2 linked regions of the Daphnia pulex genome follow. The protein of the gene in region 1 purifies or fractionates together with the protein of each later gene. This does not show direct contact. Links are inferred from orthologs where the notes say so. Each region holds a gene or a part of one and is shown on either strand. Other genes may lie near its edges.

Evidence for each region. The genes of interacting proteins can lie anywhere in the genome.
Region 2: the proteins of serine/threonine-protein kinase ULK3-like (region 1) and hsp90 co-chaperone Cdc37-like purify together in Homo sapiens (affinity purification with mass spectrometry; 3 studies listed by BioGRID and IntAct, with this or other methods). This does not show direct contact. The link is inferred for Daphnia pulex from reciprocal best matches to the Homo sapiens genes ULK3 and CDC37.

The regions. Positions count from the first base shown.
Region 1 is NC_060023.1:1,269,690-1,274,934, reverse strand, and holds serine/threonine-protein kinase ULK3-like, read right to left. Parts: upstream 3,572-5,245; 5' UTR 3,348-3,571; coding exon 3,261-3,347; intron 3,173-3,260; coding exon 3,021-3,172; intron 2,560-3,020; coding exon 2,345-2,559; intron 2,277-2,344; coding exon 2,050-2,276; intron 1,986-2,049; coding exon 1,706-1,985; intron 1,649-1,705; coding exon 1,508-1,648; intron 1,442-1,507; coding exon 1,341-1,441; intron 1,282-1,340; coding exon 1,198-1,281; intron 1,136-1,197; coding exon 1,042-1,135; intron 985-1,041; coding exon 962-984; 3' UTR 715-961; downstream 1-714. Other genes in the region: ionotropic receptor 93a-like, read left to right, coding at 5,145-5,245. UniProt on the Homo sapiens protein: Serine/threonine protein kinase that acts as a regulator of Sonic hedgehog (SHH) signaling and autophagy.
Region 2 is NC_060026.1:6,136,376-6,140,502, reverse strand, and holds hsp90 co-chaperone Cdc37-like, read right to left. Parts: upstream 2,221-4,127; 5' UTR 2,095-2,220; coding exon 2,062-2,094; intron 1,891-2,061; coding exon 1,757-1,890; intron 1,689-1,756; coding exon 1,524-1,688; intron 1,439-1,523; coding exon 1,058-1,438; intron 985-1,057; coding exon 795-984; intron 731-794; coding exon 560-730; 3' UTR 501-559; downstream 1-500. Other genes in the region: U1 small nuclear ribonucleoprotein 70 kDa-like, read left to right, coding at 1-100, 157-227, 290-393. UniProt on the Homo sapiens protein: Co-chaperone that binds to numerous kinases and promotes their interaction with the Hsp90 complex, resulting in stabilization and promotion of their activity. Inhibits HSP90AA1 ATPase activity.

The DNA.
Region 1 (5,245 bases):
CTTTTCGGTACTACTTGTCGATTAATTTCAAATTAATTGTTTTAATTTAATTAAATTATAGGAGATTTAATCGAAATTTTATTTTATTTGTGTTTTTGGCTTTTGCAAGTGAGGCCTAATTATTGAAAAATGTTTTTGACACTTGTCAACAGGTTAATTGTTTTAAATTGGGCGAAATTGTGAGTAATAATACCAAACTAAGAGTGAAATTGTAGAGAAAAGAGAAACGACCAACATAATTTTGAAAGAAAGGCAGCCCTTGATTTCCTAGCAAAACTTTCCCTTTTTTCCCAGCAGTTGTCCCTTTCTATTGGTACAGAGCCATCGAAATGTAGTTGCTCGTGAAATCTCGCCAACCACACGGAATTGATATACGGTGAAACGCTTCACACCAACATGGACAAGAAAATGAAAGAGAGAACGGAATTACAAAATCAATTAGAACAGGGACATGAAGGGGAATTATTTCAAGTTTAGGGGAAAAAGAATTAGAAGGCCGAATGGTTTAAATGCATTTTTTTTTTAAATATTAACGTGAAAATAATTTTGGTACTTTCTAGTCCAACACCTGACCGTGGCCCGAATGTCAGACACTCGTTTTATCGAAAATTACTATCAATCTTATCTGATCCATCGCATATGTAATAGATATGCCACGACACCATTACAAAAATGTTAACTTAAATTAAGGATTCACATAGAGAGGATTTTAGAAGTCAGTCTAGTTCTTCACATTATATTTTTTTCGATCAGGATAACAAAAGAAGAAAGGAAAAGTGAAAGCCAGCAAGCATACAAAAGGTATACGCTTCGTGTATAGAAGGGGAAACGAGTCATAAATTGGGGCTACTTTCTATTTTCGTGTATTTCGAATGGCAGAGAAACTGTTTTATTTTTGCAACCATAGCTTCTTTTTTTTTGTGTATCACCATTCACCGGTTGATTGGTCGCCGAAGACTTGTTACTGAATACAGCAATATTGCCCTTCAAATAAGATTTAATGTTAATTATTTTATCAAGCCTAAACTAAATTTGATTTACCGCTAGCATCTTCAGCCTGTAGTTCTTCCAGCTGTGACTGTTGGAGATTGTGGAATTCTTGCAACTGTTCAGCTCTTTCCATCCATAATGTGACCTAATACAATTTTACGTCAAAATTTAGCAAGTTAATTGAACATTTTATTCGGAAAATTGAACCTGTTGATGAAGCAAATCTCTCCTGCGTCCCTTGGATTCATGGCGAAGCATTGGTATCATTACATCCAGTGCTGCTTTGTAACGCTGATTGATATAATTTAATTTTATCGGTTGATTTGAATGAAAATTAATCAACATGTAACCTCTAATGCAAAAACATGCTGTCCCTCTGAATCGTATTGCACTCCTTCTTTGCCTATTTCCAGCGCCGAGGCTAAATTCGGTGTAGCGGACGCCAGGGAACCTACCAGCCAATTATAATACGTTAACAGAAAATTGAAGATAATTTATGTTTACGGAATTATCTTACGGAGTTCTTGAAACGTCGTTGAAACGTTGGACTTGGTTAATTGAGTAGAAGGTACTTCAGGGACAATCGACATTTCTTTGATTCGGCAGGAACATGTATGAAGTTGTCCACTCAATTTAGATTTCGTGACCGCATCAGCACCTGGGATTACAAAGTATTTTATTGGTTAAATCAGAAATATTAGCCGGAAAATGATACCTGATATTAACGGCTTTAGAAGAGCATGGGCTTGACGGTAGAGAATAAGAGTTTCATTTCCTCGATTTGACTTATACGAATTTTCAGCACGCTCAAAAACTGAATTAGCCTCTAACAGACCACTGTTGGAGGACAGGAGACGTTGGAGGACACAAGCAGGCAAATTGACAAAAGGATGATTGAAGAATTGTTCAAATGTCAACCGCTTATTGGGGTCCTTTTGCAATAATCGAATTAAAAGGTCTCTACAATTGGATGATAGCTCTATAGTGGTTGGAATCTACAGGTATTTTAAAAGGAAATATTATCATGAGCGAGAATTAAACTATTTATCCAACACTTACTGTTATAGGAGCATCACTTTGAATTTTTTCCACCAATTCTTTCAAGCTTTTAGACGAGCATGGAGGTCTACCAAATAAACATTCGTATAAAATCACACCAGTTGACCACAGATCGACAGAGGCGTCATAACTTTGTCGCCGGAGAATCTCTGGAGCCATGTATAATGGGGATCCTCTGTAAGAAGTTTCTTTTTCCCGGTTTTTAAGAGATTGAGCCAAACCAAAATCTGCATTCAAAAAATAATAAATAAAGATTTCTTTAATATGTGAGTGGGGAGAAGTTGGTTCGCATTACCTGCTAGCTTCAAAACTGGATGTTTTCGGGATGTTAACAACAAGTTACTTGGTTTAAGATCCATGTGAACAATATTATGTTGCCGCAGGTATTGCAAGGCAAACGCTAGTTGACTTAAAAATGATCGGCAAATGTCTTCTTTTAGTTGTTTGTAGTTTCTAATAAAGATGGATAGGTCTCCACCTTCGCAATATTCCATTATTATATAGATAAAACTGCGAAAAAAGAGACAAAAAAATAAGCGGTTAAAAATTTTTAACTAGGGAAGATTTTTAAAATTGTTAAAAAAAAGCATGGTTATTTAAATACAGTGCACTATTTGATAAAACCTAATTCACAACTTGTAATCAAACAGAATTTCTTATCTGCTCAATAAACGTCCTACAAAGTATCTTCCAATGTGTAGGAATTGATAGCTGTTGGGGGTATATAAGCCGTCACTGATAACTTTAGGACAAAATACACTTTGATCTCGTGATATGATTGAACTTTGCTAAATATCACAGTCACCACAATATTTTATGCAGTTAAAATCTTAAACATTTTTTCACTAGGCTGATGCAGTTCTGAATTAAGATTTTGGTTAATAATAATAAAGAAACACAAGGCCAATGGACCATGCAATAAGTTAAATTGTAACACAAGTAGCTTTCCATGTGTTCAATCAGATACTCACTTTTCATCCCATTGAAAATCTAGCATTTGAATGATGTGTGGATGTCTGAGACGTTTCAAGGCCTCGATTTCATGTACTATACTGTTTACCGTGTTTGCAGATAATTCATTCTTTAATATACATTTAACAGCAACAATTTGTTTAGGGCTACTCTGAATGAATGAAAGAAACATCATTAAAACAAAGAATAAAAAATAATAATATAATTTAAAAATGACTAATTGGATAAGCAATATTTACAATCTGATATGCTTTGTAGACATCAGAAAAGGTTCCGCTTCCAATTTTCGATTGAAGAACGAATCCTGGTAGTCGAGGCAAGGGCATTTTAAAGTTTACTGGAATGGTATTTTGGCTCTATGATGATAAACTTTTTCGAAAAATAAAAGTTGTTTAATCTAAGCAAAATCAATAATTGATTTTGTGAGAAATGATTTCACAAATACAACAAATTCTAATGGCGCCTATCTCAAAGAACCTCTGATCATAACAAATAAAAAATAAGAAATAACAACTTGAAATTTCGTCTGTTCCTTTAAAGATCGATACATTGAAATACTATATCGATATAAGCTATCACGATCGATATCTAGAACCCGTTCAAATACGGTGGCGCTGCTTTCACAAAACAAAACATCTAAAAGCAGAAATAAAATAACTTAAAATTTTAAGTGAATAGGGAAAGAATAGAATTATAAATTATCCTTAAAAGTTATAAAGAAGAGTCAGAGTTGTTGCTGCATGTTTTTTTTTCTGTGATTGGACATCACATGATCACAGAAATATACTGTTGAAATATACCATTGACCTGTCATCAGCAAAAATCTTCAAATTTCTTCAGGTATCATACCATGGTATCGTCGCGTGGGTAATAATTTTCGATACTCTTTTTCATGTGACTTGCCCAATTGCTTGTTAACTTTTAATTCTCCTGTTTATTAAAAATTGGGTCTACCCACATTTTCAACTTTTCCTTACTGCTTACTTGTTGTTTCTGCAAACATTTGTCGTGACTTCTTTTTATTTGTATTTAGATAAACAGCATCCCGTTTTATTGGAGAAACCATCGATGTCGGTCGGGTTACGTAACTCTTCTTCCCCTTTCTTGAAATGTCCTCATGTACATGTGTCTGTGGGGATATTCACGAGGACCCCCTTTTTCCTGTCAGCTGTAATTCAACTCTTCAACTGATGGAGCACTTTTGGATGCCTGGCCGTATTTCCCAGGCTTAAAGGTAGAACAAATATTATCTAACTATTCTTCCTGTTGACTATTTGGTGGCTTATTGGATGATTTCAAATCGTTACATAGTACAGAGTAGGCCTACTATCATTCCTGAGTTAGGCCGTTGACTGTAACTGTTTTCTCTTGCCGTGTTTGTTTACTCAGTTTTGGGTTAAGTAACGCATTTGTAGAACGACTGCAGATCAGGCTTGTTTTTGTTTTGTACCTCACAACTTTTGCCTTTGGGTAAACAATCAAATTCGAAAAATATTTGAACTTTAAACACTTCAAGCAAAGTGCAACTAGAACATTTTTTTAACAAAGAGAAACCTGTTGTGTACCATCACACCTCCTCGTTGCAAGCACGCATAAGCATAGTCCATTTCGAAAAATAAATTGTTAGAGTAACTCAGAGTCAAATAAGGAAACGAATCCCAAGTATTCGAATGAGCGCTTATTAGTGCAATACAGTATAGACGCACATTAGATATGAGTAGACAAACCGAGTCCAGTCTGAGCACCTGACGTTATTCAAAGTAGTTGAATATAGATGAGACAGAGAATTGACAGCTGACGTGGATCACAAACGTGAATAGAACAGTAGGCTTATGTATGGTTGTTGCAGTTTGGATAATATTGGATAATATCGGAAATAAAAGATGAGACATCAATGTCAGATACACACACAGACATATCATCTTCTATCGAGAAATTGCCGACTATCAAAAGTCATTTATTTGCATATGATGTGCGTGTCGCTATGGAAACGGAAAATTACCTGAAACTTCTCCGGTGTTACATGAGCTTAACTTTATTACAATGAACAGAAAGATGTCCAGTCGTTCTCAAGACTCCAACCCAATTTGTTCTGTCCTAGAGATCTATTCTAATATCTTGCGATGTATTCTTTACTTTTAATTCTATGGCTCACCATTTCCAACTGCGGATTCTCGTCAACGGAGTTCAATTCCCTCAATGGTCGGCACTTACATGTCATCTG
Region 2 (4,127 bases), on another chromosome or scaffold:
CTGGTCAAGTCGCTTCTGGCGATGAGCGTCGCAAAGAAAAAGATCGAGTTAAAGACAAGAACAAGGATCGCCGGGAACGTCGCGATCGTTACAAGGATAAGTAAGCAATCAAATTATCGAATTCAACTTCAGAATTTAATGAATAATTTTTCACAGGGAACGAGAGCGTAGGGACTATGTTCGGGAGGATGGTGAACAAGTGCGAGTGAAGGAAGAACCGCCTGATGGTATTGGAATTAGCTGTTAATGAAAAATATCTATTACTAATTTGTGGAATTGAAATTTGCAGATTATGACTATACGGCCCAACAATATGATGGCTATAATCAATATGATCCTGACAACATTAAATACGAAGTGGAAGAGTCGCAATTCCAGACTGAAGAATACTAGCGTATGTTTTTATAGCAGTAACTTGTCTGTTCTTAAGGCTTTTTAACTTTACAATTTTAAAGTGAGGTGAGTATGAAACTGGAGGTAAAAACGTCAAATACACGTTATTCAAAAGCCCCAGTGTATTAATTCATTATTAATGAATATAATAATCCAAACTAGTATTTTAATTTTCTGCAACATTTTCTGCAATATTTCCAGCAACATTTCCGTCGGGTACCCACAATCCGGAGTCAACACATCTTTTCATATGAAACCGTGCTTCTTCTTCAGGTAGTGTTGAAATTGCTTGTTGAAGAAGCTCAATGTTTTGTTTTTCAAAACAATCCTTAAGAACCTACACAACAAAACACATGATTCATATATGTGGAAGGAAATTTATGTGTCTTGCTCAATTATACCTCCGGTAAACTTTCAAATACTTCAACGGGATCCAACCCTCCAGGACCAAGTCGTTTTTTCTTTTCTTCCTCCTCAGCTTCGGCAATTGCAGCTTCTATTTTCTCTTTCGCCCGCCGTTGTATACGGTCTTTGAAAGCTACAAGTTCGTCTTCAAATCCTTTACGATACTCAACATCTGCGATTTGAATTCTAAAAGAGATAAAATAGTAAACAATTCATTTAGTTATAGCTACATAAAGGACAACTTAATATAAAGATAAACCTTGAAAAGAATGAAGACACACATGATCTTGGATCTCTGTTAAGGTGCCTGGATAATTCAAGAATGAATTGCATGCAAATGCACTGATGGGCAACATGTTCCATTAAACTTGTTTTCTCTTCCATTTCTAAATTAATACACCAAATCACGAGATAGTTTGCTGTTTCTTCACAAACCAGCTCTGGATTTTCTTGAAGGAAACGCTTACTATCATCATACTTTTGTAGCATTCCATATGCCTTAAGATTTTTCTCATGTTTCTTGAAAAATTCACGTGTTTTGATTTCTTTCTCCTCTTCAGTGAGCTCTTTCACTTTTTTGGGTTGGTCAACATTGACCACAGTTTTTGAAAATCCAGGTTGACTAATTGTATCTACATTCCTAAAAAAAATATGCAAAAAAACCACAATTAAACTTTGAAATTAGACATCACATTAGGATATATTGAAGTGAATCTTTTAAATACCATGGCATCAACTTTTCCTTTTTTTTCATTTGTTCTTCATGATCTTCGAGTTCAATTTTTTTCGATTCTAATTCACTCAATTGCTTTTTCAAATCTGTCACATCAATACCTTCTTTCATCACCTGTTCATACTTACTTTTAACTTCTTTTAGTTTGGCAGTGTTCCTTTGTTAGAAAAGTTTGATTTAATGTAAACTTTAACAAAAACATTAAAGCTAGTTATTTAGCATTACTCATTTTTTGCTTTGAGAAACAGAGCTTTTTCTTGTTCCATTTCCTTCATTTTTTCTAATCTAGCTTCGTGTCGCCATTTGAACAGAGAAGGCGTGTCAACGTTAGGATGTGTATCATCCTCATCGTCAGATATCTGTAAAGTATTATGAAGTACGTGAGTGTTTAAATGAAACATATAAATAACGAATACTTAATTACGATACTTAATTACGATTAAATACTATACTGACAATAAATAGAAGGTTAGAGAACCCGCAAAAATATGGTAAAATAACAACACAACATTTTTGAAGCAACAATTTACCTCGATATTTTTCCATTTGCTGTAGTCTACCATTTTATTCGCGATAAAGTTAAGAACTTAATGGAAAAGTGGAAAGTGACAGATTATCTAAACGCTAACACTACGAATCTACGATTGTAGACTCGACAGAGTGGTGGCAGAAAACTGAACCTTTGCCTAAGTGATAACTCCAAAGAGGTACACCCCTCTGGCGATGGGTGGAGCTTGTTCCTGAATGGACTAAAGCAACTTCGTCTCTACTAAGGCCATTTTAGCTAAAAAAAGGGGGGTTTTAGTTTTAGCCTTTAGGAAAAATGAACATTATTGACACATTACACACTATTTACATAATAAAACCCGGACAAAATCGTAGCGTGGGATCTTAAAGAAATGAACCATTAAACATTTATATACGGGAAATAGGGGTCTTAATTCAAAAAATTTATTCATTATAAACTGATACTTATTTTATTAATAAAAAATGTCGTGACGATTGCAATCGTTCGATCGTGCGATCACGACCACGGTAAATTTTTAGCGATCGCGATCCAAACTGAAAAACGCGACCGGGATCGGAATTGCAGGCCAGAAATCGCTCGATCAGATTTGCGATCGTCGCTATCTTTAATTAATAAAAAAACCCTTTTTTTAAATAGCACCACCAATAAATTATTGTTTTTATTTTTATATAAAAAATTATTGTTATACATTAAAGTTTATAAAGTTTCAGTGATTAAATGTATTTTTGCAAATTGCTTTGTGCTTTGTCTTGATTCTTGAAAACGTTGGTAATCATTTCCCCTTGCCATCTAGCGGCGATCGCAAAAAAGATCACGACCTTGACATGATGTTTGTTTCTGTTAATCGGGCCGGGCTCGCGGTAAAAAAAAAATATCGGCCACAACACTGTTGATAAAAATGTGTTACAAATTTTTTACATTTTCGTTAACATTTATTATTTTAAAATTAATTTAACAGCGCGACAAAATGTTCGAGGCTTCGAGCCGTGTTTAACACGGAGTTTATGGCGGTTACCATAAACTTAAAATAAATCATTAAAAGACAATTAAAGTAATTCGAATAATACTAAAAGTAATTTTTTGTGTAAACTAATAGCGCTTATTTGTGAATGACGGTTTTTGTGAGAAGTTGATTTTTTGCGTGCTAAACTTCTTTCTATATCTGTTGCTGTGACTTCACATGTTGCGTAGTCAGCATCGCGCAGTACTCTGTTTTCACCTGGGAGTAACTCCCTTTTGAGTCCTCCTTCAAATGCATTCTTTTTTTCCTTCGAATGTCGTTTCTTTTGAGAGTCATATCTTCATTTGTACTATGGAAAAAAGCATTCCGTTGTAGGCTTTAACAAATCATGTTTCTAAACGTGGGCGAAATTCTCTTACTCGTTCGTTAGCTTTTTGTTCAATTTCAGACAGTTCGTTCTTAAAAAATTGATTCTCAGATGGGTCCTTAAATGGTTCTATGATTAAATCTTTCCATTCATTGTATCCAGTAACGGGTTCTGGGTTTTCAGGTTGGCTAAATGTTCCTGGAATGACAGAGCTAATTTTTTGAATTGTTCAGAAAAATAACGTTTTATCTGTTCTTTAAAATCGACTCTCTCGAAATAGGGAATCTTTTCTCTGAGAGGTCTAGATGTTTTTTAGTCCTTCATCGGGTGAGTAGGGTTGGGACCGAAGCGTCTGTTGCGTTTTGGTACAAAATCACTAAGGTGTCAACCCTGACGCACGGCAACGTCCATGACGCGTCGTATGCAAAATCCCCAAGTCTTATCTCTCTCTCTCTATTATCTCGTCACCCTTTCACCCACCTACTCAACTTTGAAGTTGGGTGGGTGGGTGGTTTTTGACGAGGGCTGGGTCGTCGGGCTTCGTCTCCAATCCAATGGAAAAAACAAGACTTGGGGATTTGGTATACGACGCGTCAAGGACGTTGTCGTGCGTCAGGGTTGTGATTTTTAACGATTTGTTAGCTAACGCAATGGCTCCAGTATTGGCATCTAGAGCAGTGGGGGAGGGGGGTCTACCTCCATAGACAGAGTAAGGGACATATTAACAAGCAATCCACCA